7 linked regions of the Mus musculus genome follow. The protein of the gene in region 7 interacts with the protein of the main gene of each other region in a pairwise test. Links are inferred from orthologs where the notes say so. Each region holds a gene or a part of one and is shown on either strand. Other genes may lie near its edges.

What was found.
Region 1: the proteins of Kash5 (region 7) and Cybc1 interact in binary tests that used the Homo sapiens proteins (3 or more experiments, as listed by UniProt). The two-hybrid records come from large-scale screens. The link is inferred for Mus musculus from reciprocal best matches to the Homo sapiens genes KASH5 and CYBC1.
Region 2: the proteins of Kash5 (region 7) and Bag5 interact in binary tests that used the Homo sapiens proteins (3 or more experiments, as listed by UniProt). The two-hybrid records come from large-scale screens. The link is inferred for Mus musculus from reciprocal best matches to the Homo sapiens genes KASH5 and BAG5.
Region 3: the proteins of Kash5 (region 7) and Gpr25 interact in binary tests that used the Homo sapiens proteins (3 or more experiments, as listed by UniProt). The two-hybrid records come from large-scale screens. The link is inferred for Mus musculus from reciprocal best matches to the Homo sapiens genes KASH5 and GPR25.
Region 4: the proteins of Kash5 (region 7) and Bet1 interact in binary tests that used the Homo sapiens proteins (3 or more experiments, as listed by UniProt). The two-hybrid records come from large-scale screens. The link is inferred for Mus musculus from reciprocal best matches to the Homo sapiens genes KASH5 and BET1.
Region 5: the proteins of Kash5 (region 7) and Traf3ip3 interact in binary tests that used the Homo sapiens proteins (3 or more experiments, as listed by UniProt). The two-hybrid records come from large-scale screens. The link is inferred for Mus musculus from reciprocal best matches to the Homo sapiens genes KASH5 and TRAF3IP3.
Region 6: the proteins of Kash5 (region 7) and Tmem11 interact in binary tests that used the Homo sapiens proteins (3 or more experiments, as listed by UniProt). The two-hybrid records come from large-scale screens. The link is inferred for Mus musculus from reciprocal best matches to the Homo sapiens genes KASH5 and TMEM11.

What each region holds. Positions count from the first base shown.
Region 1 is NC_000077.6:121,226,510-121,230,555, forward strand, and holds the start of Cybc1 (cytochrome b-245 chaperone 1), read right to left. Parts: upstream 2,801-4,046; 5' UTR 2,530-2,800; intron 2,432-2,529; exon of another isoform or gene 2,335-2,431; coding exon of another isoform or gene 2,258-2,334; intron 1,962-2,257; coding exon of another isoform or gene 1,904-1,961; coding exon 1,819-1,903; intron 776-1,818; coding exon 734-775; intron 334-733; coding exon 260-333; intron 1-259. UniProt on the Homo sapiens protein: Functions as a chaperone necessary for a stable expression of the CYBA and CYBB subunits of the cytochrome b-245 heterodimer. Controls the phagocyte respiratory burst and is essential for innate immunity.
Region 2 is NC_000078.6:111,710,457-111,714,594, forward strand, and holds the start of Bag5 (BAG family molecular chaperone regulator 5), read right to left. Parts: upstream 2,801-4,138; 5' UTR 2,588-2,800; exon of another isoform or gene 2,071-2,587; intron 957-2,070; 5' UTR 932-956; coding exon 1-931. Other genes in the region: Coa8 (cytochrome c oxidase assembly factor 8), read left to right, coding at 2,837-2,962. UniProt on the Homo sapiens protein: Co-chaperone for HSP/HSP70 proteins. It functions as a nucleotide-exchange factor promoting the release of ADP from HSP70, thereby activating HSP70-mediated protein refolding.
Region 3 is NC_000067.6:136,258,414-136,262,199, reverse strand, and holds Gpr25 (probable G-protein coupled receptor 25), read left to right. Parts: upstream 1-1,273; 5' UTR 1,274-1,326; coding exon 1,327-2,403; 3' UTR 2,404-3,286; downstream 3,287-3,786. UniProt on the Homo sapiens protein: Orphan receptor.
Region 4 is NC_000072.6:4,080,431-4,083,930, reverse strand, and holds part of Bet1 (BET1 homolog), read left to right. Parts: intron 1-1,348; coding exon 1,349-1,473; intron 1,474-2,295; coding exon of another isoform or gene 2,296-2,499; exon of another isoform or gene 2,500-3,500. UniProt on the Homo sapiens protein: Required for vesicular transport from the ER to the Golgi complex. Functions as a SNARE involved in the docking process of ER-derived vesicles with the cis-Golgi membrane.
Region 5 is NC_000067.6:193,181,047-193,184,546, forward strand, and holds part of Traf3ip3 (TRAF3-interacting JNK-activating modulator), read right to left. Parts: coding exon 3,421-3,500; intron 972-3,420; coding exon 836-971; intron 323-835; coding exon 260-322; intron 1-259. UniProt on the Homo sapiens protein: Adapter protein that plays essential roles in both innate and adaptive immunity. Plays a crucial role in the regulation of thymocyte development.
Region 6 is NC_000077.6:60,876,239-60,880,436, forward strand, and holds the start of Tmem11 (transmembrane protein 11, mitochondrial), read right to left. Parts: upstream 2,801-4,198; 5' UTR 2,531-2,800; coding exon 2,475-2,530; intron 1-2,474. UniProt on the Homo sapiens protein: Plays a role in mitochondrial morphogenesis.
Region 7 is NC_000073.6:45,202,093-45,206,344, forward strand, and holds the start of Kash5 (protein KASH5), read right to left. Parts: upstream 2,801-4,252; 5' UTR 2,612-2,800; coding exon 2,500-2,611; exon of another isoform or gene 2,351-2,499; intron 1-2,350. UniProt on the Homo sapiens protein: As a component of the LINC (LInker of Nucleoskeleton and Cytoskeleton) complex, involved in the connection between the nuclear lamina and the cytoskeleton.

The sequences.
Region 1 (4,046 bases), on a different chromosome or scaffold from region 7:
CTACTGTGCGCCAAGTGGGGTGTTTTATGCCCATCAGAAGGTTGAGGCAATTGGCTTTCTTTTGAGTTTGAGGCAAGCCTGCAACATAACAAAACACACTACATAGAACCTTAGTGAAAACTGTTGTGAGTAGCTTTTCTAGAAAAGTCCAGAGATGTTTACAAGCAAAATCAAGGGAAGGGCTGAGTCCAGGTAACTGAATGCCTCTGAGCTGGGGCAGGTGCTTCTGAACGGGAAGGGTCCTACTGTTCCATCTTACCTCCCAGTCTTCCAAGTTCTGTACAGCCACAAATAGGCAGCCTGTGACATAGAAGAGCTTCCAGCCCAGACTATCTGCAAGCAGACAGTATATCAGCTCATTAGCTCAGGAGCCAAGGTGATGTCCATAGGTGGTCCTTCCCAGCCCAACCTTTCTTTTGGCTCAGATTAGAGGCTTAGGTAATGTGCTTCTGTCACCGGAGCTACTTAAGCCCCAAACTCTGCCTAATTCCACCTAGAGGATGGGTAGATCGATACAGCCTTGCCATGGAGATGGGACACATCCTCCCTGCAAGGTGACAGGCAAATGCTAAAGAGCTTTACAAGAGGACTTTGTAACACAGTAAGAGATTTAAGATACAAGACATGGCCTGGGATCATCTCCCACACAAGGCCACCCCAAAGCCACACACACCAAGACTGCTTTTTGTTCATTTCCAAGTGCAAGGAAGCTGAAGGGGAGAACATACTTTACCTCCACTGTAATAGGCAGCAGCCAGGCCAGTGGATAATATTCCTGTAGAGAGAGGGAGAGAGTACCTTGTTAACTAGCCAAGGGAAGACCCATTTCTTCACAGTGCTATAGCTGTCTCATGGTAGCACAGCTTGTTCAGGGGCAACAGGTAGAGGCTACCTAGTACAGAGTTGGTGAGCCAGCTAAGATGTTTGTTTCAAAACGGAGGAGAAGGGGACTGGAAAAGAGGGCTTACTGATTAAGAGTATATACTACTTTTGCAGAGGACCCAGTTCAGTACTCAGCACCAGCACCCATGTCAGGCCATCGCAACCTCATGCAACTTCAGCTCCAAGAGAGCTAATGCTCTTCTGGATTCCACAGGCACCTATACGTACCTGCATAGAACCCCCATATAGATACACACATAGTTTAAAAATAAAATTAAATAAAAAGCAAGATATCCCATCATGGCATTCACCAGACTTGTCTGCAAACAAATGACAAACGCACAAATGACCCTGAGGTAGGTATTGCTTACATGGGATGAGGGATGAAGACTACTTACAGAATTATAACAACACCCGAGCATAACATGCAGAAAAGCATGTGTATATCATAAGGACAGACTGCAGAGATGCTGCTGAAGCCACAGCTAGTGCCTCACCTCAGACTGTACAGCCCAGCCAACACAAGTGCACCTGTCCCTGAGATACAAGAGCCTTCTGACAGGCAGCGATGGAGGAAGAGGCTAAGTGCGCTTATGAAGAGGTCTGAGCCAGGGAAGAGGAAAGATGGGAACCCATGATCACCTGTCACACAGAAGGAAAACTATAGTGACCTCATAAAAAGCAGATAGGCTGGGAGGGCATCTCAGTGTTAAAGAAGTGTGCCCAGCTTGCAAGGCAGGGAGGGTATCTCAGTGTTAGAGTGTGCCTAGCATGCAAGGGGGTCGGTCCTGCATGCCATCTGAAAGAAAAGGCACCCTGAGGGTTAATGAAACATGCTTTATCAAGGCCTTGTATTGAGAACCTCTAATAGAACACAAAGAAGCTGTTTACGTCGCTTTTTAGATTGGGGGTGGGGTGGGGGGTGGGAAGCCTTACCGACCAGCAGGGACCAAGACCGGATGCCTGGAGCCCTCTTCAGATGGAGGCGGGTGCTGGTGCGTGTCTCCACCTGCATATACATTCTTGGAACCTGGGCTCTACTGCACAGCCGACCAGGCTTGGAAAAACACAACTGAAGCCTGCAACCAGTGCACATAGGCAGCACCTCATTAGTCCAGTCAGGAGGCCAGGGGAAGGTCCACAGCAGACCCCGAACACCTTTCTCTTATGAGCCCACTTAACTCACAATTATGTATGGGCATCGGGGCTACACAGCTCACAAATTTGGTGTTGGTCTGAACTCACTTCCAAGCCCCCAGTCTTGTGAACCCTTTTCTTGACTGAACTCTTATCTTTAAGTTGTTCCATTAGTAAGCCCCCTCCCCCTCCCCCGCCCCGACACACACACACACAACTCAGGCTTCCGGCACCTTACCCGAATCTTCCAGAAACAACTCTTCCCACCAAGAACGGGAAGTGAAAGTACCATCGTGTATGAGTCTCTACATTCATAAGCTGTCAGATCCCTGTTATTGACGCCAGACTACCTAACAATGGCCCAAATGCGCCGAATTAATGGGACACTGCGGCAGGACGTCTGGAGATTAACACCCAAGGCCCCAGTTCTGAGTGGCTCCTTGGATTCCCAGGGGCAATCAAGCTTCATACCCTACATCCTCAAGAATCCTAGTTAGGCACATAACTTGCCTCCCTCTGGCTTCAGTTACCAACAAGCTCCACTAGCGGCCCGTTACGCTGGCTCCTCCTCCGGAGTGCACACGCCCGGCTTCCTCAATTTGCCTTGCGCCTGGTCCAGATCCGCAAGCGATGACCCGCACAGGGCTCGGCGGGTCGGAACCCGAAAAGTTGTAGGACACGCACCTATGCGGACAACGAGGGACTTGTAGGAGAATGAGTGGGAGAGAACAGCCCCTCGAACTTCCGGACTTCTGTTCCGCAGACTTCCGGGATAAGAGCTGGGTGGGAACCTCCCAGGGGTGGAGACTGAGTGATTACGCAGTCGGGGGTTGTGCCTTTGTGCTTCACACTCCTGGGGACAGGGACAGGTAGGGCACCTGAATTTAGCCCCTTGGCCAACCAAGAAAGATGTCACTCAAGGAGGTTTCCTAGTTAAGCAGGATATGGGCGTGGTTTAGAAGCCTGGGGAGTGAGTGGATCTGGATTGGGTTTTTTTGTTTGTTTGTTTTTGGGGGGTTTTTTGGGTTTTCCAGACAAGGTTTCTCTGTGTAGCTCTGGCTGGCCTGGAACTCAGAGGGATCTTCATGCTTCTGCCTCCCGAATGCTGGGATTAAAGGTGTGTGCCACCGCCTCCTGGCTAGATCTGTAATTTTCAGGAAATGATAAGAGGTCATATTCACCAGATGCCTAAGGTATAGCAAACATGATCTGACTACCCGAGGTCAATCTAACAAAAGATGCACAATAAATGAAAGTGGGGACATGGCCACTCCTAGGTATTGTTGACGAGTTTCTTATTGTAAATGTGAGGGAAAGCACATATGGAAGCGTCTGGTTGAACATGTCCAGCAGAATAGAGCCATGAGAGGAAAGAGAGAGGGGCAGAGTAAGAGATGAAGAGAGGCGAGATGGAGACAAAAGACCAAGAGGGCAGACAGCACGTAGTCACGATGTCAGATGTCAGCACGTAGTCACGATGTCTGGGTTTTATAGGCAAAGAGAAGTTGGAGGGAAGGGAAGGGAAGGGGAGGGGAGTTGAGGGGAGGGAAGGGAAGGGAAGGCAGGGGCTTGGGCAGGGTTAGAGAGGTCTAGGGTAGTGGGCAAGAGCTGAGGAGTCAGGACTCTGTAACAGGTACTTGCTGAGAGCATGGCCATCATCTACTTTGATGGTCAATAGGCACCTCAGTTAGCCATTTGTCCCCGGTTTCTTTCAGACCTAACACACAATAACTAGTGACGTAAAACCTGGATCACATGTTCCTATTTTGTAGTTTGCCTCCAACATACCTACGATGATCTGTGGGTGCTAGGACGGCATGCTGGAGCAGAGATTTCCATTACTTTACCGTTCTCTTTAGATCTACTTGTTATGGGATTCCTAATTTTATAATGACTTTATAAAAGTACACAGCATGACCCTTGAAGTTTTGTCAATTTATAGTTACAGTATATACTGAGAAAACTGGATGAGGCAGTCTCTCTCTAATATTTACTTATTTATTTTATGTATAGGAATACACTGTAGC
Region 2 (4,138 bases), on a different chromosome or scaffold from region 7:
GCAGCTCTGTCTTGGCCCTCAGGTACAACTCAGGAGGGCTCTGCGCCTGGAGAAGTTCATTTTTTATCTCTCTCATCCTCTTGAGAACATTTTCTATTTTTATAATGGAATGGTTCTGTCCCAGGTCAAATGCATGTGTACTGTCAGCTTCCTCTTCTAAGTCTAGGTATTTCAGTAATTTGTTGATATCTTCCACCACCTCCCTCCGATAATTTCTGATCTCTGTACGCCCACACACATCTAGAGCATCTAAGTCAGCAATCAGTCCTGACAGCACGCAGGATAAGTGCCTGCAAGTCTCGGAACTGTCCACGCCCATCAGAAGTGCGATCAGCGTCCCTCTGGCCTTGTTCACCTCGCACATGACAGAGTTGATTTTGGCCACTGAAGGATGCACATCCTCAGACAGTGGCAGGGACGGCTGCTTCTTCATACAGTCCTCAATAACCTCCTGTACCGCGCAGATCTTGGTGAGCGTGCGGTACCTGGCTTTCCGCAAGGAGACCTTCCCTCCGGTCTTCACGTGCGTCAGCCTCAGAATGATGTCCTGGATGCCTTCCTCAAACTCGTCAGTCACACAGTTGCCTCCGCTGTAAAAGGGCACAATCTTGTCTTTCACAAGGGCCTGAGCCTCCTTAAAGATATTCTGGATTTCGATGCGGTGTGGGTGGTTGGCATTCTGCTCCAACTCCTTGAGGAGACGTTCTGTCTCCTGTGCCGCCCGCTTCCTAGCTTGCTGGATATCTCCTTTTCCTTCCGTATCCACAGAGTCAATTTCAAAAAGTTGTTTGGTCAGAATCCTCTCCAGCCTCTTGTAGTTCTTGTCATCCGACAGGCCGCTGAAGCCGACCACTTGCGGCTCTATAGCCTTTACTTCCCGCTGGATCTCCTGAAGCCTACTAATGGAGGGGTGTTGGTTTCCCATATCCATACTTCTGTGTTCAGTTTCACAAGCACTGAAAGATAGCAAGAATGATAACGTATTAGTCTCTGCAGGACAAGAACCCACTCTAAACACTCCTTCTTAGTACACTTGTTAAAAGGGCTCATTCGGGCTGTGGAGATAATTTTTCATCAAGTGTCCAAGCTGGAATTCCAGAACACATGTGGAAAAAAAAAAGCTGGGGCGGAGCTGGAGAGAGGGCTCAGTGGTTAAAGGTGCTGGCTAGAGGACCTGGGTTTGATTACCAGCACTCACATGACAGTGCATGACCACACAGGTAACCCCAGTCCCAGGGCATCTGATTCCCTTTCTGTCTTCAGAGGCACCAGGCACACAGTGATGCACAGACATCCATGCAGGCGAAGCGCCAACGCCCATGAAGTAAAACAGAAAAGCCAGGCAAGCCAGTGCCGGGGAGACGGCGATAGATGGATCTCGTGATTCACTGGCCAGCCCAGGTTAGCCTAACCGAGGACCTTCAGGACCATGGGAAGCCCCACTTCAAAAGCCAAAGTCAAAGGACACCAAGGAAATGATGGTGGGCGGGCAGGGAGGCCAAACTCTGGCACCTGGGCATGCACCAAAATACACAAAAGGTTTCGTCAAAGGTGTAAAAGGTTGCTTGAGGAAAGGGAAGATGTGACATGTCAACTCCCTCTCCTGAAAACAGCTGGACAGGAACAAAACAAAGCAAGCTCACCGGTGTGCTGGTGTATCCCTACAATCCTAGCGTCGGGGATACAGAGGAAAGGGAACTACGAATTCAAGATCACCATGGGCTACTTGGTGACCCTAAGAATTCAAAGCAAAACGGAAATAGGGGAACACGGTAGGGATTTGAACGACAGACAGAAGGTCCTCATGATCCAGCCTGGGTGGATGTCTAGGCCTATGAATTCTGTCTTAAACCATGAGAGCGAGCTGCGTACACTGCCATTCTAGTCAACCCACCAGGTTAGCAACACAATTTCCTTAGATCCCCCCCCCCCCCATCCTAATCTACTCTCTGGAACCAGTTTGGAAGTTAACAGTAGCTCTTCCACACTCACAGGAGCACCATTCGTCCAGACAGCTAGCTAACTTTCTACTTTTCTGAAAGAGGAGCTACGAAACTTCCAAATCCTCACCCTGACTTCAAATACCCGCCGCCCAAACCTGCCGACTGCGATTAACTCGGTCACTCGCCTCCCGGTATGTGCGCTTAGAGCATTTCCCACGCTCTCAGGTTTCTGTCAAACAGCTCACTTCTGGCGGGCAGGCCACAGAACTCAGTCCCCGGGAGGGTCCAAGCCCGGCCCTCGCAGAGCTTTTACCCCGGGAGGTCTGGGCGGCGGCGGTCTTGGCTGCCGCGGGGGGCTGCGAGGTGGGAGATCGGCCCTTCACGGGGAGCGGCACCGCAGCGGTGCCCCCAGCGGCATCCCCCCTCGCCCTTCCCGGCTAGGTCTGACCCGGGCAGCCGGTGAAGGGGCCGGCGGAGGCGGCGGCAGCTACTGGCCGCGGCGGCCGCTCCCGGGTCTCGGCCCGGCCGGACGCGCCGCCGCCTGACCTCACAATGGGCGCGCGGCGGGCGCGGGCCTGCGCAGCGAGGGCGGCGGAGCGCCCGAGGCCGGGAGAACGGAGCTCGCGCCCTCGCCCCACGCTCACCTGGGCCGCACGCGCCATCGCGCCCCGCCACCTACACTTCCGCAGCGTTGTCGCCGTCCTCGCAGAGCGGGCCCGTCAGCAGTGAGCCCGGGGAAAACTTGTCCTCTCCTCGTCCCGCGCGGGCCCCGCCGCCCGGCGTCCGTCCCAGGGAATGCGCACGGTCGGCCTCGCCGCGCGTCGGCTCGGGCTTTGCGACGCCGCCGTAACGCCAACCTTTCCACTGTCGCGATCCTGCCGTACGCGCGGGCCATGGCGGCTTTGCGGCCCGGAAGCAGAGCGCTTCGCCGGCTTCTCTGCCGGTCCTTCTCCGGCGGCGGCGGCGTTAGGTTGGCCCGTGAGCGCCCTACGGATCACAGGGATGCGGCGTCCAGCCGGGTAAGCGGGACGCCGGGGGCGCTGGCAGGGAGGAAGGCCGCCGAGCAAACCCACGCCGCCTGCACCTCTCCGACGGACTGATGATCACTGCCCGGGATCCGCTGTGGAGAGCGCGAGCCTTGCTTATCCCCGAGTTAATTCCCATTTGTATTAACACAGCTCTTGAAGGGTGTTCTTTCTCATTTTCGCATCGTTAAGATTAGTGTTCGACTTAAAGCCGTGGCTGACTTCATCATCCCACTTCTGTAGACTTCGCATTGTTTGTAAACGTGCACGCGATGTCAGAGATCCACAGTGCAGGTCTGCAGCAAGAATGGGCGTGAAGCCTTTTTCAAAAAAACAATTGCTGGGCTGGAGAGATGGTTCAGCTGTTAGGAACACCGAAGACAGTAACAATGCACTCACATATATAAAACTAAATAAAGCTTTTTTTTTTTAGTCAGTTGCACTTCTTTTTTTTTTTTTTTTAAGATTTATTTATTTATTATATGTAAGTACACTGTAGCTGCCTTCAGACACTCCAGAAAAGGGAGTTCACATCTCGTTACGGATGGCTGTGAACTACCATGTGGTTGCTGGGATTTGAACTCTGGACCTTCCAAAGAGCAGTCAGGTGCCCTTACCCACTGAGCCATCTCACCAGCCCTCAGTTGCACTTCTTTGCAACAGAATGCTTTGCTTAAGGAAGGCCTAGGTTGCCAGGCGTGGTGGCCCACGCCTTAATCCCAGCACTCGGGAGGCAGAGGCAGGCAGATTTCTGAGTTTGAGGCTAGCCTGGTCTACAGAGTGAGTTCCAGGACAGGGCTACACAGAGAAACCCTGTCTCGGGAAAAAAAAAAAAAGGCCTAGGTTTAGAGTCTATCAGTCATATGAAAACGCTAAGGCTGGAGGTAAAACATTAATCAGTGGCTACTAACACTTCAATGACCACTAAGCTAGTGATAGAGACTAGAGAGCTTGGTTTAAGCAATAATGAAGAGAGGGAAGGAGGGATGAGGAGAGAGAAGAGAGATGGAGAAAATTAAGAATTGCAAAATGTGCTTGCTGTGAAAATTTTCATCTCTGCTATGCTGTGTCTCCTTGCACACTTTTAGCTTTGAAGTTCTGACTACTCCAGTTTAGATTTGTTGCCTTAGGACCCTGGCCTCTGGCTCAGTTTCCTGGCACAAGAAAAAA
Region 3 (3,786 bases), on a different chromosome or scaffold from region 7:
CAGGCCACAGCCTGCCAGTGTCTTCCTGCATGTCTCAGTATACTTGCTTTTTTATCCCTTCCTGGGCTGGCTCATCCTCTCTGCTTTGCCATTCCTTTTGACCTTTAACCCCTTCCTAGACCCGACCTGAACTGTCGCCCCTTCTGCGGACCTTTTCCCCGAAGCATGAACAGCTCCTCCTTCTAAGCGCTGAGTGGACGTGGTTTTAAACCTGTACCACAGTTTGACTGATGGCAGGCTGGCCGTTGCACACACAGCCTGTGTCTCTCCCCTCCTCGAGAAGGGATCTGAGGTCAAGAATGCATTTCTTGCAATGCAGAGGAAGCCAGTGCCTGCTGCACAGAGAGGTCCCCTGAGAGTGGAATGGGAAGGAACAAAGCTTAGACATCCTGCACCCCTTTAGCCACAAACCCTTTCCCATCAGTTCACAAGAACTCTCAGAGCTACTGTCTCATGATTTAGAATAGCAAATCTGTTGGATTGTTAGGGGCCATTTTGTGTCATCTTTTGTATAGAGGTTATAACCCTGTTTGACTTATCAGCTAGATTTTGAAGTATGGGGAGGAGGAGGAGGAGGGTTAACCCAGGGGCCTGGCCCCCTTCCAGCAGGGCCACCTGATTACACTTTCTGTCTCTAGCTTAGACCCTTTCCACACGGCTCCATGAGGCCTGGACCAGGACAGAAGTGTCACTCCAGGTGACACGTCTAGTCTTTTATCCTAGGAGGCTATTAATTAGTCCAAGAACTGTGGTGCCAATTCTTGATCGGGCACCAAGGGAATCTCCCTCAACCTTCAGACCCCTTCAAGTGCTACACAGCAGAGCAGATTAGAGAAGGAAGCCGAGGCGTTGCCCTCCCTCAGAAACCCTCATGCCTGGTCTGTCTCCCCACCCTCCACCCCCCCTCTAAAAACTAGAAAAGAAACGCCTGGTGAGAATCGAGAACAGGTTAGGGCTCTACGGCACCCACTGCCCCTTGCACCCTATCTCAGAGTCCCACTCCCTTCCCCCAGATACTAGGCCAAGCACCCAGAAATGATGAGCCACCAATTCTGAGTGGCCGCAGTTCTCTCAGCCCTAAGGACATCTCACAATACCCAGTTGTGCCCTTCCCTTTGGGTCAGCCCCAACTTGGAAGGTAACATCACCACCACAGAGGCCTGCCCCTCCCAGCCCCACACTCTTCTCACCCCAAAGCCTCGGCCTAGGGTGGCAGGAAGGGAGGGAGGGAGGTGCTGGGCACAGGCTGTGAAAAGCAAACCCCCTCCTGCTCAGAGAGGGCAGCCGCCCTGCGCCAGGATGCACGCCGGCCCGGTGACCCCGGCCATGCAGTCCACCGAACCCTGGAGTCCTAGCTGGGGCACGTTGTCCTGGGACTATTCGGGCTCGGGCTCCCTGGACCAAGTGGAGTTGTGCCCTGCTTGGAACCTGCCTTACGGCCACGCCATCATCCCAGCGCTCTACCTGGCGGCCTTCGCCGTGGGCCTGCCGGGCAACGCCTTCGTGGTGTGGCTACTGAGCCGGCAGCGCGGGCCGCGGCGGCTGGTGGACACCTTCGTGCTGCACTTGGCGGCCGCCGACCTGGGCTTCGTGCTCACGCTGCCGCTGTGGGCCGCGGCAGAGGCGCGCGGCGGCCTCTGGCCCTTCGGCGACGGCCTGTGCAAAGTCAGCAGCTTCGCGCTGGCGGTCACGCGCTGCGCGGGCGCGCTGCTGCTGGCGGGCATGAGCGTGGACCGCTACCTGGCGGTGGGCCGGCCGCTGAGCGCGCGCCCGCTGCGGAGCGCGCGCTGTGTGCGAGCCGTGTGCGGCGCCGCCTGGGCTGCGGCGTTCCTGGCGGGTTTGCCGGCCTTGCTCTACCGGGGACTGCAGCCGAGCCTGGACGGCGTGGGCAGCCAGTGCGCCGAAGAGCCCTGGGAAGCGCTCCAGGGTGTCGGGCTGCTGCTGCTGCTACTGACCTTCGCGCTGCCGCTGGCTGTCACCCTGATCTGCTACTGGCGCGTGTCGCGCCGCCTGCCGCGCGTCGGTAGGGCCCGGAGCAACTCCCTGCGCATCATCTTCACCGTGGAGAGCGTCTTCGTGGGCTGCTGGCTGCCCTTCGGCGTCCTGCGCTCCCTCTTCCACCTGGCGCGGCTCCAGGCGCTGCCGCTGCCCTGCTCCCTGCTGCTGGCTCTGCGCTGGGGTCTGACTGTCACCACCTGCCTGGCTTTCGTCAATAGCAGTGCGAACCCGGTCATCTACCTCCTGTTGGACCGCTCATTCCGCGCCCGGGCCCGGTTCGGGCTGTGCGCGCGCGCCGGGCGCCAGGTGCGCAGGATCAGCTCGGCCTCCTCGCTCTCCAGGGACGACAGTTCGGTGTTCCGGGGCCGGTCCCCGAAGGTGAACTCTGCCTCGGCCACTTGGTAGCCTCCCCGGGATGGCGCAGGTGGAACGGTGCTTCAAAGAGAGGAACCATGTGCTTGCAGATGCGCCAGGGGACTGCCCATCAGCTTTCTCGGAGCTGGCTGTTGGGGCTGGCTGTTCTCACAAACCGATGGGGAAGGATGGGCTATTATATTAGTTTTCTCCAGGGCAAGAAAAGCTGTAGACACTCACCTGGAGAAGCGGGTTCACCTAGTAGATGGGAGGGAAGTGGGTTCTGTTCTCTGCTTCATTCTGTGTAATTCAGCCCAAATATCCAAACCAGACTCTCAAAGGTCCTTCTTGCTCCTGACTGTTCTTGCCCCTACAAAAGCCATTGTCCTTTGAGGAATTTCTTCTCCTGGTCAGCCCTCTAGCAACACCATCTCAAACACCTCTCCCTTCCCCTCCCCTCCCTCTTCCCCTCCCTCTCCCTCTTCACCTCCCCCTCTCCCTCTCTCTCCCTTTTCTCCTCCCCCTCTATCCCCTCTCCCTTTCCCTTTCCCGCTCCCCTCCCTCTTCCCTTTTCCCTCCCCCTCTATCCCGCCCCCCCCCCTTCTCTCCAGTCATCACTATGTTATCTATATTGTTTCTCATCCCCAATTCGGGTTTTCGTTTTCAAAGGCTCACGAAAGACATGGAAACTAACCCTAGCGTGAACAGTCCTGTGAGCAATTTGGTCCTTCCCACCCATTACCTCACACTGGTGTGGCAACCCTTCTCCCATCTAGAGACACCTGTGGGACTCGCCCTGAAAGTAGTTCTGGCCTTCCTTCTGAATGCTGGCATCTGAATTTTTTCAGTGGGTGTTCAGATTTTCCCTCACTCAGCCAGGGACCCCAGGTTTTTCTGTGAACACACATCTCAATAAAAACTTTTGTTGGCCCTAGTTGGCAACCGTGTCTTGATTTGAACATCGAGAGCGAGATGGGTGTCAGAAGGGTGTGTTACACAGTCAGACAAAGCTCAGCTCAGTAGTTCAGGCCCTTCAGGGTGATGGTTTGTGTGACCCTGGTACTGGGAGCGCCAGCTGCACCTGCGAGTGTGGTACTCTCAGCGGGCAGAGGATGACTTAGTCTCATTCTTTTAAAGGACATCGCACATCGAGATAGTGACAAGATGAAAGGAAAAAATGAGGAAGATGCACGGCATCTGCCTGCCAGGTGCCATTTCAAAGAAGAGATGTGTAATTTTGATTTTTAAATGTGGTCCAGGCTCCCCACCCCCACCCCCACACTCTGGGAGCTTTTCCAGTACAAATGTTTAAAATTAACCGTTTCAGTCTCTGGTTTATCCTTTGAGGCTTCCGGAAGGCTTAGAAAGTAAATGTTTTTACTTGAGAGGATTTAGCCTACAAACATTTTGATCAGTGAGGGAAAGACATTCCCT
Region 4 (3,500 bases), on a different chromosome or scaffold from region 7:
CTGTGCTTTGAAAGAGTTTCTTATTCACACGTAACCATTCTTCAGCTACTAGACTTACTGCTACCCACTCTCTCGGTTGTCACTATGATTGTTCTTACTATCATTGCTACTGCATTTGCTGTTTGAGCCTACGGTATCCTCTAGCTTTAAGGGTATCCCTTTCTTCTATCTTCCTAGGTTATTAGAGAATCTGCTTCCAGCCATGGACAATCTTGTCCCTTTAATACATACTACACACTTTTGTCACTTCCACTACATTAAAGTTGGTGCGCTTTGTTCTTCTGCGGTCCCAATATTAAAGCTTTCAGTTCTAGAGCCATCCAACAGGGTGGCCTCTCAACGGCTGACTGAGACCAAGGAGTCGTTCTGTTGAGAATCTCATATCTAGGAGGGCAGAAGCCAATTCAGTATCCTGCCGCGGCCATGTTTAATTTATTCTCTTGGTAATATGGGATGGTTTGGGTCTCCATTCTTTCATGATTGTTTATTCTAAGGGATCACTTTTCTTTACTCTGCAGCTTGTTTTCTTCCTTTACAAAGAAAATGATGCCATCGGGTTATTAACGCTTGGTGAAGTGCCCTCAGTGCCCAAGCATTTCTGTATGAATTTGTTGCCTAATGCTCACTGTACCTGTTGTTTCCCTGCAATTGCCAAGTACTGTAGTAGACAGTAATGGATTCTTCTATCTTCCACATCATCTCCAAGAGCGCAAGTTCTGTAAAAGTAAAAATAGATTAGACATATGGTAGTGTCTCAAACATTGGTTGGAAGATGAGTGAACTTCTTTAGACTCCCAGCTAATGGCCTCTACAAGCCATTGTGTCTATTCTCCAGGGTTTCACCTATGGCCCTCTCTTCCCTTTGTTCTTTGGTTTTCACCATTTGCTTATTATAGGAAAACATGCTAGGAAAATTCCGCCATCTTTCTGCCATGAGAACCCTTCCCCCACCAATTATCTTTCTCCCTCTCTTCTTAGAACCAAGTTTCTCTGATGGGTAGATGGTGCTATGTTTATGTCCTTTATTAAAACAAATTTCTAGTGTGCAACAAATGTCTTCCAAATATTCTTGTGTATCTGTGCCTGTTTTAGTGTTTTTTTAAGCAATCAGTAAATGATCAATAAATATTTATTGAAGAAAATGCATGCTCTACTTAAAAGAGGATGTGAAAAGAATTATTGTAATATCTGGTTCTGATTTTAATAGTTGATTTTAAGTGTTGCTATAGTAGATATATGTGGTCTGCAATGCGCTCAGAGGGTCTTTTTCAGCTTTTTTTTTAACTACTAAGGTTTAGACGTAGCTTCTGCTTTTGCAGTCCTACATGTGTGCCTCTGATCCTTGTAGGTGATGGAGCACCTCCTGGCAGCTATGGGAACTATGGCTATGCCAATACTGGTTATAATGCTTGTGAAGAAGAGAATGACAGACTCACTGAAAGTCTGAGAAGCAAAGTAACGGCTATAAAATCTGTAAGTACAGAACCAGTGCCATTCACATTGTAACTCATAGGTTTGAACTTAATGTCATCACAAGAAGGGATTCATTTCAGAATGGTGCACTGAGGTCAAAGTGCACCAAAAGTTCAGACCATTCATTAAATAAGTTAAAAGATACAGTATTCTTGCTAAATTTTTTTTCTCAAACCATACTTAGCAAAATCTAAAATGTACCATACATTATATGCCATAGGTCCAATGGTTCCAGGCATGCTTTCTGTATAATTTTAGGTTATAGGAAATGCTAACTTGTAATTTTCCCTACTTGTTGTTGTAGTAAAGAAAAAAATTTAGAATAATTAGTCTAGACTTACGATCAAAGAAATGACATATTTTGTAAGGAAAATATTAAATGTGTATGTGTGCATTTGACTTAGTCCTGTGGTACTTGTATGTTGTAAAATGTAAGGAATATACAGGTAAATACATTTATATAAGTAAAAGAGAAAATGTGCTAGAATAAGAGAACCAGAGAATGTTAACAAGTAGGTTGAATATTATAAAGAAAAGACGAGAGAAAATGTCACTGTTAAAAGAATGAGACATTTGAAATTTGTTTTCCAATAATTTCACTGGTCAGAGCATTGGGGAATCCAGTGAAGTAGCCCTTCCAGCATTTTCTGTTAGTGGCTTTCTCACTTCCATCTTTGATCCTCATTTGAATTTGGGTCTTCCCATGTTTCTTAAACATGGCCCTGACATTTATGTGTAGACCCATGGGAGAATCCTTGGACCTGTATCATTCCCCTTGATCTTCATAATGTTGTCACAGCTATTGGCAAAATTTCGTTGCAGCAGATCCTGCCCTCTCAGAAGTCTTTGGATTCTTCTGTTACTGCTCTGTGGATTTATTGCTCTCTCTACATGTTCTTCAGAGAATGGCCTGTCCTTCAGAGCTTCTCCCCGACACATCCAGAATGCATATGGGTTTACGGCCAGACAAATGAGAGTTCTCTTTTGTACTCTGCATACCACTGTGGCCCTATTCCATTTTTTTAAAAACTCAAACTGCTTTTGGTACTGTTGCCATCTTCCATCTTCCGGGAAGATGGCAGTACTGTATCTGCCCCTCCCCAGGCTTTCTCTCAGTACTACATCCAGTGTTAGCTCACTCCCTATAAAGCAAAGATCATTTGTGACACACATTCAGTGTAGTTCCTTCTCAGCAGGACTTGGTAAACTTCTGTTGAAGGAATTATACAAGATGGTTTTAAAAGTATGTGCCATTGGTTTTCCATGGCAATAAACATATTACACAGTTGTGCAGCATTCAATAGAAATTCACATTGTCTCATGTAATTGGTATTTAATATCAGTCTTTGGAAAGTTATATTCAGGTTGTACTCAAAATAGTGTTTTGATATATGGTATTATTTCCAAAGTCATCTTAACTAAAATGATTCAATCTATGGACCTAATAAGGTGGACTGTTAAAAAGTTAAGTTAAACAATGGGAAGGACATAGAATTGAATGTCTTAAACCACAAACAAGGGAGCAAATTCCTCCAGTTGATTAGGACAATTCTGTGTTAGAAGAAAGCTGTGATATCCTGGCGAGTTCTTTCCTTGGCACGAAGGTCATGCTCAGAGTAGTTGGGTAAATTGGGATCCTGCTTTATCATCTGAGCTGAGAAATTTGGGGGAAAACTTCATATCTTATTGCTATAATATTAATATAACTTCATAAAAGTATTATGTATGCTTTTCAAACAGACTAAATTTAGAAGAACCTTTATGGTTACACACAAAAAGTTTCCGTAATTGTATTTAGTCAAGTAAGTGTAAACCTTTGGTGACTTTGTTGTATAAGTTATGAAGTATGGTTTTGCAGAGCATCTATAATTAGTTATATTGTTGTTTGACATGCTCAGATTCTTTCAGTATAATTTTAGGTTATATATAACTTTTAAGGGAGTTCACAATTTATTATATTAAATCAAAAGTCTTTAAAAAATATTCTAGACTTAAATTCAAAGAAATGCCTTATTTTTAGGGGACTA
Region 5 (3,500 bases), on a different chromosome or scaffold from region 7:
ACACACACACACACACACATAGAAAGGAAACACAAGGACAGATGCTAATGTAATAACATGGGAAAGAAACCATATAACTTGTGGAGGGTTGTGCAGATGATCCCTCAGCCCAGCCCCTTGCAGGAAGTGTGCTCGAGGATGCTCAGAAACAGGACACACTGAAGCCTCCATGGCTCAGCCCTCCCTCCTTCGAAGGTCTTCTGTGGTCAGGAGCAACAGAAACCACCTGTGCAGGTTGAACCCTGAAAAGGAAACTTACTCTGTAGCTGTTGTACTTTGCTCACCAGGGCCTGTTTCTCTTCCTCTGACTTCTTTAGTTGATCTGAAAGCGAAAGAATACAAACAGAAATAGGAGAGCACCAGAGGGTGGAAATGAGAGGTAAGTCCTGTCCTCTGTGACCTGGGAGTGTCAGGTGTCTTTCAGATCTGAAGGGAGAGGCCAGCATTCACACAGGAACATCACAATATTGTGTACACACACTAGTGGGTCCTTTCAGCCCACAGAGGCACATCTAGGAGGCCTTCATCTTGCCTGTGTTTGTACTAACCTTTCCCTTTCAAATTAGGAATATGGCCTTTGCATGTGACTAGTATGGGAGCAGCTGTGGTATGGCCCACAGGGTCAAGCTGGAGGAGAGAGCATGCAGAGTCCTCAGATGAAGGACAACTAAGGTTCATTTTGGTTGATTGACATTTCTCTGCCTTTCCCTCAAGGAGAAATGAAATCATGGGACCAAGCACAAATGAGGAGCAAAGCTTCTCCCCATAGCCTCCTTCCTCTGAGCCCATTCAGTTGTGGTTCTAATGACCCTGTGACCTCAAAGAAGAGGAGTACCTTGTAGGTCCTGGGTCTCAGAGCTCTGCTGCTCTCCGTCTCCCTGCAGGCTCTCGAGTTTGGTCTGCAGCTCCTGGTGCTCATTTTCTAAAAGCTGCAGGGCCTGGCTCATCTGTGAGTCTCTGCTGTCTGCTCCCTGCAAAGAGGAGGGAGAGGAGCCACAGAGCAGCAGGTCAGTGTGGCTGGCGACAGAGCAGACAGGTACCATGGAACAGGACACAGTAGGATTACTGAGATGGGGTGTCAGGAAATGGAAGCTCTCCCCTTCTCTTTGTTCTGCCCTATCCTGCATGTTTATGGCAGTGCCTCTGACTTGATATTTATGGGGATATGTATGTCTCGATGCCTTGACAGATCTCCACATCAAGCCAGAATTTTCTAGATGTTTTACTTTCTTTTTACTTTGGCATGACCAGTTGTTGAGGGAGAGGGGCAGTTAAGGCTATTTTCACAAAGAATTAAGGTTTAAAAACCTCAAAACACTTTCCTAAGAATTGCCTTATGCATGATGAGAAAAGAGAGCAGAGGTTAAGATGTGGATGCTGTGTGTAGCCAGTAAAATTTGTGCCTCTAAATGTCTCACACCCTCTTTCATCAAATATATATATATATTTTCCTGATTCATGTTTGGGGAAATTGTAAAGATTCACTCTTAGGGCAGATCTTCAAAGTTTCAAACTAAGTATGTGAAATCTATGTGTTAACTGGAGATTTTGGGGAGGCTCACCTGGGGTGCCATATGTTACTAGGGAAATAGGGTCTCCTCTCTGAGTTCTTAGATTTGTTAAGAACACATCAAGGAAACTTCTCTTTGAAACAGATGGAGACCACTACAGAAAACCACTATCAATCAAAATGCATACCTGTGGATTCTGGTCTCAATGAATACAGCTATAAAATAACTCCATACTTGAGGCTCAGGGAACATTGCAAAAGAGGGGGCAGAAAGATTGTAAGATCAGGGAGTTTTCTGTGAGATTGTGCCTCCTAGTAATGTCAGAAGCAATACCCATAAAGTCTCACCAACATGGCTGCCCAAATGTGAAGGGAAAAGGAGGCCACCAATGGGTGTGCCAAACTAGATGAGGGAGAGAGCCCATGAGGCCTCAATCCTACACGGAGAACTATAGGTAATGAAAATATCCATACAAGTAACATATAGACTCAACAGATTATATTCAGGGATATATATGCATGCACACATATGCATTAAATAATAATTGATGAAAAAGAGGCTGTGAACATGAAGGAGAGCTAGGAGGGAGATAGGGAGGGCTTGGAGGGAGAGAGAAGGAGGGAGAAATGTAATTAGAATCTTGAGAATAAAAATAAGAAAGATGGTTAACATTAAAAATATTAAGAGCAGATTCTGAAGAAGACTAAAAACAAAACAAAACAAAACAAAACAAAAAAAACCAAAACAGCCAAAAACAGTAATAATGACAACAGAGGCAGATTGGGAATCCTGTGAATGTCAGCAGCTGCCTGGAGGATAAAGGTGGAGAAGAGGGAAAGAAAGTCATGCCTTTTGAGTTAGGGATGGGGATTCGGCAGTTTGGCACGCAGCCATATGGCAAAGGGGATGCGGAGAGGGTAACATCAAAGAAGAGTGAGAAAGCCAGGAGTGTTGTGGAAGCACACCTAGGCTTCAGCAAGGGTTAGGAAGAAAGAAGATGTGAAAAAGAAAAGTTACATTTTTCTGAGAAATTCAGAGGACTGGTCAGGCTTGACCAAGTAGCGTGGCCATGACTCTGTGAGTGACCACACCAGGCTCAGGCTTTCTAGGAAGGGGAAGTACATGATCTCACTAAAAGAATAATTACTTTTCCTTCTTTGGCATGGCTTAAAGTGAATCTGCCTTCCTGAGGGGTGGTTCATTAGCCAGAAGATTGACTGGCCCAAGTGGATTAATTCCTATGCTTTGGGGAGCGTGGAATGTCAGGCCTCCATGTAATTACTAACCCGAGTGAAGTGCTCATATGTACCAGACTATGCCACACATGTTGTGTGAGTAGTCACATTTAATCCATGCAACAAAAGACCCTAAATTAATTATAAATGAATCAATTAATCTACATTAATTAATTAATGTAGATTAATTAGATTTTCTAAGGTGGCAGATTGAAAGTGTAGGAACTTTTGAGCATGACAAGAATTTACTGAAATTTATTAAGAAACACACCAGCAGGATGTGTTAGTACCTGTAAATAAACCAGTAACATTTATTATGTACAAAACAATGGGCAGTTATGCACTGAGTGCCCTGCTGGGGTGGTGTTTGAATAGTGTGCAATTGGTAGGCCAATCAACCCAATGAATGCCCCAACTCAGGCATTTGTATTTGGTTAATGTCTTTCCAGTGGGTACTTAGTTCATTTGCATGGACAGTGTAGGCATTCCCTCTATACGCACTTATGATTCAGAGCAAAACAGTGAGTCTGGTACTAAGTGGGCAGTGGATGAAGACTTGAAAGCTGCTTGTTACGTGTATCCAACCTTTGAGGCCCAACCTAGGAGACTCCTTTCTCAGCAGACCCCTCTCCCCCCTTCTGCCTCCCTTCCTCTCCCACTGCCGGGCCTGGTACCTGTAGTTTGGACTGAAGCACATGCAGTTGGCTCTCCAGCTCTCTGTGCTGGTCCCCTAGGGTCCTCCAGTCCTCCTTCA
Region 6 (4,198 bases), on a different chromosome or scaffold from region 7:
ACACTTTTCACTGTACTTAATTTTAACTTCAATGTAATCGCCACACATGGCTAGCAGCTACTGAACTGCTGTCACTCAGCTCTAGTACTAGCCTGTGTTTCTGGACTTAACAGGCACAGCAAGAACCACTGCAAACTAAGCTGACAACCAGCACAAAGTGGGGCCTTAAATATAACATATGCACCAGAGTATGCAGCCACTGGCAAACACAGTGTCTGTTCAAAGCACTGCCCATTCCAGCCTTGCCACAAAGCACACAGCATCCCCTTTGGTTTCAGCACAGGGCAGGGGCAGGAAGGTGTGAAGAACTCTGGAAGTGCTCTCTCTCAACATGAAGCTGAAATTTGAGTCAGTCCAAATGTGACACGGAACAGAGTCACTTAGAAGGCACAAACAGCTTGTGTCACAGAGTCAACACTTGGTGCTCACAATCTATGGGTGCTGAGTGTACATTATTCTGGTCTGCTCCATCCTGTCAGGCCACCAAGCAGCAATGGAGGTGCGCCCAGAAGTCAGTCTGCTAGTCAGGAGGGAGTGTGTTTCCACACACAGCCTAGAGTGGGAGGCCTGACGGAGATGGGGTTCTGAGAATGAACTCTCTGGAAGGGCCCTTCCCATAAAGGCCGACAGAGGAGTAACCTCCAGGCACCAGAAGGAGGGCAGATGGCAACTCTCAAATCATAAAATCAGACGCCCATCCCTGGCAGACATACAGCACCTGCATGTTTGGGAAGAACCTTCAATTCCTGGGCAAAGGTCACAACCTGAACACCTACAGGACCCAGGACGATAACCTTACCTAGTTAAGACTTCAGTGAGAAACAAGCACCAGTGGCTCTGAGGAGAACCACTCCCTATCTAGCTTCACAGTGAGTTCTGTCTGCATTGGACTTAAACTCCCTTAAAGGCTGCTGCAGCACAACCAGCAAGGCCTGGACTAAACTATGGGCGGTTGGTTGACAAACTGCTTTTAATTAATATCTGTTTCAAGACAAAGGAAAAATTCTCCATTTTCTTAGGTAGGCTAGCAAGACTCCTGTCTCACACTTGAGGCATGCATGTTTGGCCCTTTCAGTCTGTGTCCAAGAACAAGAGTATGGCAGGGTGCAGTAGCCCAAACCTTTATTCCCAGTGCTTGGGAGGCAGAGGTAGGCGGGCCTCTGTGAGGTCAAGGCCAGCCTGGTCTATAGAGTGAGTTTCAGAACAGCCAGAGAGAGCTACACAGTAACTCTAATGACTCTACACACGTGGCTCTAAAAACAAGCAAACAGAAATATTAGGAAAGTTCTTCCCTTCTGTTGGGCTGAAATTAAAATCCTGAAAGCATCCTTAGGGATTTAAGGACTCGGAAAACAAGATAACCTCTCTGGCTGTTCTTATCTAAGAAATAAGTGGGAGTTAGGGAAAAAACAAACAAACAAACAAACAAACAAACACTCCTCGCCACTGCTTTTCCATGTCACAGTAAACGCAGAACGGATTATTTAGCATAACCGAACTCAGGAGTAAAACTGGCTACCACTTCTGCCAAGCAGGAAGACTAGTGTGGGATGGAAAAGCTGTCGTATGCAATAGCAAGAAACATGGGATGCGTCAGTCAAAAAGGAACAACGCAGATTAGTTGAGACACAACTTTTATGGTTGACAGTACTCATTGGAAACGGAGGGGAAAAAGTCAAACTTTGCTTTTTTTTTTTTTCTTTTCCTTTTTCTGACATCCACAGTAAAATGCGGAGGACTTAGCAAGACCGACTGGGCAGGTTAATCCAGTAGCGCCACCGATATACACCCACCTCCCCAAACTTCTTATCGTTGAACAGCTTCTAGTAACCTATTAGCTAAAAATAATTCCCAGAAGGAAAAGGCTACAAGTTCAACCCGAAACACGTCAACTACTCTTGTCATCCGGAAATCACTGGAAGAAACAAAACCCCTAGCGCCCCCAAACGCATTCAGTAGGAAAGGTCACTACAAAGGACTTAGGGCAGAAGTGCTCGAAGAGAACCCTCAAAAAGTGGCGACGATTGCTCGCTCACAAGGCGGCCAGGCTCAGGCTCTTGGAGGCGCGCCCGGCACGCTGCCGCTCTCAGCAAACGCCCCTATAAAGCACACGGCGCCGCGAGCCTCTACCCTCCTCCTCTCCCCGGAGCCCATCCACGCCACACCGGGCGCCCAGGCCGAGCGGGCCACGTGCGCGAGCCAGCGGCCCGGAGCCCACAGGACGCTCGGTAGGACAGCGTGGCGGCCCTCGCAGCTACTCACCCTGGCTCACCGCCCACCCGGCTGCGGGTCGCCGCCCCTCCGAGTCGCGCTCCCCTCGCTCCTGGCCGTCGCGCCGCCCCGCTCCTCCCACACCTAAGCCCCCGCGGACTGGGCCCCGCGCGTGGCGGGCACACGATCCGGAGTCGCGCGTGGCACAGAGGCTTCGCCGGCTCTGCGGTCGACCTTCGCCCGCGGTCGCGAGCCCAGCTTACCTCTCTCGGGAGCCGCCGCCGCCCGGACCCAGACGCCTCCTTCCCCACGCGGCCATCTTGGAGACTCTCGGTTCGTCGGGGGCTGGAGCCGACGCGGCTCAGGGCGCGCGGGAGCCGAAGGGAAACGTAGTCCCGTGAGCCGCGCGGACGAGGTGGGAGGTTGCGAGAAGGACTACACTGCCCACAATACCTCACGCCGGAAGCCTGCTGTAAGCTGCCGCGCGCAAGAGGGCGAGGGGGTGGGATCCGCCTTAGGAAAGAGTCTTCAAGTCGCAAAGTGCGAGTCGCTGCGCCCACCGCCTGGACGTCCTTGGGCTCCCAGAACGAGTGGCTGAAGGAGAGCGGAAAGAAAGCGCCTACCACTCCCAGAGCGCTTCGCGCGACGATCCCGCCCTCACAGCCTGAGAGGCCCAACCCTTGGCCTCGGCCCTGTTGCCCTTCACCGTGGCTTCGGCCGCTGGGGGCCTGAGTCCCCCAGTTCTCACACTTTACAATGACTTGAGCAGCTTAACCTTTCTCCTTTCCCATCTGCAGACCAGAACTCGTGCACCTTCAGTCCGAAGGTTACCTCTGCCTCCGCGGCGTCAACTGCCCCCCTCTCCTGACCGGAACTTGCCCGGCTGACAAATCCAGAGATTTTGAAGGTCTGTAGATGTGCTTGCCCTAAAACGCCTTTTCCTCCCAGTCAGGTTTTATGCTTGTCTGGTTTCTATAAAGTTCCTGGTTTTCAAATTGAATATGCAACTCCGCCTCCGATTGCCAAACTCGTAACACATGCAAGTGTGGCAAAAGAATAGGGATGTGTAGAGAGACGTCAAGAATAAGGTATGAGGGGGCTGCGGAGATTGTTCAGTACTTAAGAGCACTAACGGCTCTTTCAGGGGACTGTGGATCAGTTTCTGGCACGTGGTAGCTAACAACAGTCAGCTATTGCAGTAACGTCTGACGCCCTCTTCTGGCCTTACGACCACAGCACACGTGTAGTGCACAAAACACCCAGACACAATCAATCAATCAATCAATGCCAGTTGATAGTGCCTGGGATCCCTTCCTTGCCTGGATTACTCAATAACAAACAGCATGCAAGAGAAAAACTTGGCCTGGAGAAGGCAGGTAATGGCTAAGGACTTCAGGTTATGCATTCTTCCAGATCACTAGCCCATTCCCTACCTGAGTGTCTTTGTAAATTTTTTTTTTTTAAGTAAATTGCCTCTATTGCTAACTATGCATCTCTGATACAATTCTTTGTCCTGAGACACAAGAACCTAGGAACTTATGTAGGTGGTCCCTGTGACTCAGCCAGGAGGTAAAAATCTATGTTTTCTCTCCCATTTCCCCCTTCCTTAACTACACTCTACTACCCAGGAACATCTGTGAGAAAGCTCTCAGCTCTTTAGGAACCTGATAAAAGTGCAGGGGTGACGGGCAGTGGTGGCGCACGCCTTTAATCCCAGCACTTGGGAGGCAGAGGCAGGTGGATTTCTGAGTTCGAGGCCAGCCTGGTCTACAGAGTGAGTTCCAGGACAGCCACGGCTACAGAGAAACCCTGTCTCAAACAAACAAACAAAACAAAACAAAACAAAAAAGGTGCAGGGGCGTGTTCTCTTTCCCATTACCCTATAGCCACTGCCTAGGGGATGTCTGAACCCTTTTCTCAGCCCTACTGCAGTATGAGCAAAAAACAATGTGTACTGACCAGGGACTGCCAAGCCCACATTTAAGCT
Region 7 (4,252 bases):
ATTACAGATGGTTGTGAGCCACCATGTGGTTGCTGGGAATTGAACTCAGTGCTCTTTACCACTGAGACATCTTTACAGACACTCCCAAGGCCTATATTTATGAGTGGGCTTGACTCTCACAGGCTTCTGTGGTCACAGGGACTCCCTCCTCTGCACCCTGACAGTGCTGTCCTGCCTCTATTACAGCCTGGCCAGTCACTTTTTTTTTTCTTCCCTGAGACAGGGTTTCTCTGTATAGCCCTGGCTGTCCTGGAACTCACTTTGTAGACCAGGCTGGCCTCGAACTCAGAAATCCAATCTGCCTGCCTCTGCCTCCCTAGTGCTGGCCACCACGCCCGACTGGCCAGTCACTTTCAGGAGAAAAGGAGGCACTGTCAGTAGTCCCTCTAGGGACTGGGGCCAAGGGTAGAGAGAGCCTGGGTTTCCTCCTGCTTGGCTCCCCTTTGTTTGTTTGGAACCCCTGCTCATCCCCTGCAAAAGCTAAGAAACCTCCTTTGCTCTTCTCCCCTCAACTCTGCCCACAAGGACAAAACTTGGGGCTAACACCTCTCCTCTCCACTTTCCAGCTATCCACCCATAAGTGCCAACCCCCCCCCCCCCCGCCCCCGGGGTCTCAGCTTTTGACCATGTAAGGACATAATCCCAGCCCCTAGCTGGCACGTTATCACTCCCCGTCTAAGCTTTATAAAACACCTTTGCTAAGCTTAGCCTGGATGTGTGACTTCACTGATCTCCACGTGTGAGGTGGGTGGAGGTTGATGCCTCCTCGTAAGCCCGCCTTAATCTATTTTGAATCTGGAGTGATCCAGCCTATATCTTTGTCACCGAAGGGGAGAGAAGCAGCCTCTCTCCCTTTCCTCAGGGAATGCAGCCATCACTCTGCCTTGCCTGTATTCCGGCAGCCGAATGTTTTCTGGAGACATTATTATCTGGCTTTTGGAGACAGGGACTTAGTAAATATATATTATGTAGCTTTAGCTGTAGTGGGCCTTCTGAAGCTGTGTAAAGCAGGCTGGTCTTCAGCTAGTGGGGATCCTCCTGCTGTCCATCTCAGAGGCTTTTAGAAGGCACCAGGGAAAGAAGAGGCTTTCTGAGACTCTTTCAAGGGGAAACTCGGACAAAATCTTGAGGAACAAGGGATATCAGGTGGCCAGTGAGTGTCTTGTGGGTTTTAAACATGGAGGAAGTCTGGAGGGGATCCCTGGACTAGAATTCAAGGGCTGCATTTCTGGGGTGTCACTAGATTTCAGAGTCCCCGGCGGAACTTGTAGGGCAACTACAGATTTCTAAAGTATCAGATAGGACTTGAACACCAAATCTCCACCAAGATTTCAGAGGAAAAGTCTCTGACAGGTTTTTGAGGGAGACTCTGATGGGATATCTAGAAGATCCTAGCGGCTGGCGTGGTGGGCTACACCTGTGATACCAGCACTCAGGAGGCTGAGGCAGCAGGATCCAAGGTTTTGAGTAGAGTCTGGGCAATTTACTGAAGCCCTAGAGAGTCCCTGGAGGGTAGCTTAGTCGTTAAGAGGACTAACAGTTTACTCTTCCAGATAGATATGGGTTGGAATCCCACTACACACATGTGAACTCCTCCTCATCTGCAATTTTAGTTCAGAGGGATACAAAACCACCTGGTCTCCACAGGCACATACCTGACACACATACAAACATGCCGGCAAAATACTCAAAAACAAACAAACAAACAAAAAACCCCAACAACAACAAAAACCAAAAACACCCAAACAAAAGCCAGGCAGTGGTGGTGCACACCTTTAATCCCAGCACGTGGGAACCAGAAGCACACAGGCCAGCCTGGTCTACAGAGAGAGTTCCAGGACAGTCAATGCTACACAAAGAAACCCTGTCTCAAAACAAAAACACCTACCCTACCCACAAAAACAAAATAGATTAAGTGTTAGGTTTCAAAAGTTCTAGAAGATTGCAGTTGGGCACATCTGGGAGAGCTGTAATCCTAAAACTGGGGAATGAGGATCATGAGGTCGTGGCCAGCCTGGGCAGCACTTGGAGGGTCTGTCTCAAACAAAAATAGAAAACAAGCAACAAAAAGCAACCGGAAGTTTCAAGAGTCTGACAGGATTGCCGAAGTTGCCACTAGAATTTTCCTGAGGAAGCCGGTCACGGTGGCGCACGCCTTTAATCCCAGCGCTCGGGAGGCAGAGGCAGGAGGATTTCGGAGTTCGAGGCCAGCCTGGTCTACAGAGTGAGTTCCAGGTCAGCCAGGGCTACACAGAGAAACCTTGTCTCAAAACTTGGGGCGTTTTTGAAGGAGCTGGCAGGTGATGTTACCGGGGAACCTGCCATGAAAGTCGCCACAGGCAGGGCGTACCTGGAGTCGGGACTCAGTTGAGGGACACCAGCGACGAACGGCGGTTGCGAATGTCACGGAAGAGGCGTGTTCACACGCGCCTTTTCCCGCCAGAAATGCAAATGAGCCGGCCTCCTGCAAGTCCCGCCCTCTCAGGCTCTTGTACTCACGCAAGCGCACTCCGAGTGGATGGCGCCCGGGTCTCTCCTTACGAAGACCCTTGAGCTGGCGCATGCGTAGAGCTTCTCGGGAGGATAGGCTGGACCTGAGGATCGAGTGCATGCGCACTAGTGGGGCTAGCGGTGATGGCGCGATATTATCGGCAGCTTTCTTCTGCGGTACAAAAATCCTTTCCTTCTGCTTGACAAAATAGGGCCAAGCAGGAGAGAGTTCAACCGAAGGACTCCCTGTTCATCCTTTTCTTCTTGTCAGTCTTTGAACCAAGTTCTTTCTTTTGGGTCTGGCTCGCCCGCCACTGTCACAATGATGCGCAGTCTGGTCCAGCCTCACTTCCGCTCCATTCCCTCCCCCCCCCCCGCCCCCCGCATTAATAGGTACCCAAGCTGTTTTCCCAAACTATTATAGTTTCTACTTACTGCTTAGCTATGTAGCCCAGGATGGCTTCGGACTTGAAGCAATCACCCTGCCTCAGTCCATGCCTGTGGACTATTCGAACTTTTTTATTATTAAGGGTCCAACAGCCGGGCGTGGTGGTGCACGCCTTTAATCCCAGCACTTGGGAGGCAGAGGCAGGCAGATTTCTGAGTTCGAGGCCAGCCTGGTCTACAAAGTGAGTGCCAGGTCAGCCAGGGCTACACAGAGAAACCCTGTCTCGAAAAAGCCAAAAAAAAAAAAAAAAAAAAACCAAACCAAAAAAGAGTAAAGACACTTGCCACCCATCCCGGTGATCGATCTGAGAAGAATCCCCAGGACCCACATGGTGCAAGGAGGGCCCCTGAATTCCACATGCAGACCCTATCATGTTCACTTTCCTACCCCTTGCTGTTTAAAAACACATGCATGTAATGATAAGGACTGGGCATGTAGCTCAGGGGTACGGTGTTTGACTGAGGGTGCCCTCATTCAATCCCTAGGGCCTAGTGAATTGGGCAGGGTAGTGTACCAGTACTCGGGAGGTAGAGGCAAAAAGTGCAAGGTCTTTCTCACCTTACTGACCATCAGACCCTGTGTGTGCTGTTTAGTTTTTTGTTGCCTTGACAAAAGCCAGAGTCATCTGAAAACCTCAACTGAAAAGTTACCCTGTCAGTAGGCAAGCCTGTGGGGATATTTTCTTGGTTAATGAGTGATGTGGATGGCAGCCCACTGTGGGCAAGACCACCCCTGGGAAGGTGCTTCTGGGTTGTATGAAAAAAAACAAAACAAAACCCTGAGCAAGCTTCAGTTCCTCCTTCGAGCCCCTACCCTGCCTCTTCTCTGTGATGGACTGTGATCTATCACAAGATGAAATAGACTCCCCAAGTTGTTTTTGATCATGGTGCTCACCCCAAGTTGTTTTTGATCGTGGTGCTCACGCACCGCAGCAGTAGAAAGCAAACTAGGACGCCTGGTCTAGATGAAAGGTCTGCCGGGTGTTTTCAGGACAACTTGTGGTGCATTCTGGACCCTGTTAGCTTTGTCCCTATTATCAACATCCATTCCTGGGGCTGGAAACATAGACCACTGTTTAAGAGCAATGGATGTTTTTCCAGAACACCTGAGATGGATTCCCAGCATCCACATTGCAGGCCACTCAGGACACAGAAGCAGGGAGTTTGACTGGGCTTATCCCATACTGCCTCTGGGGTGGATGCTGGGCTGTAAGGAAGTGACATTGCTCCCAGGGTGGGAAAGCCAGAGCTCCTTCTGGGGTCCCAGGCCTGTGACAAGGCCAGGGTTGTGGGGTTCTCAGACTCTTGGAAATCC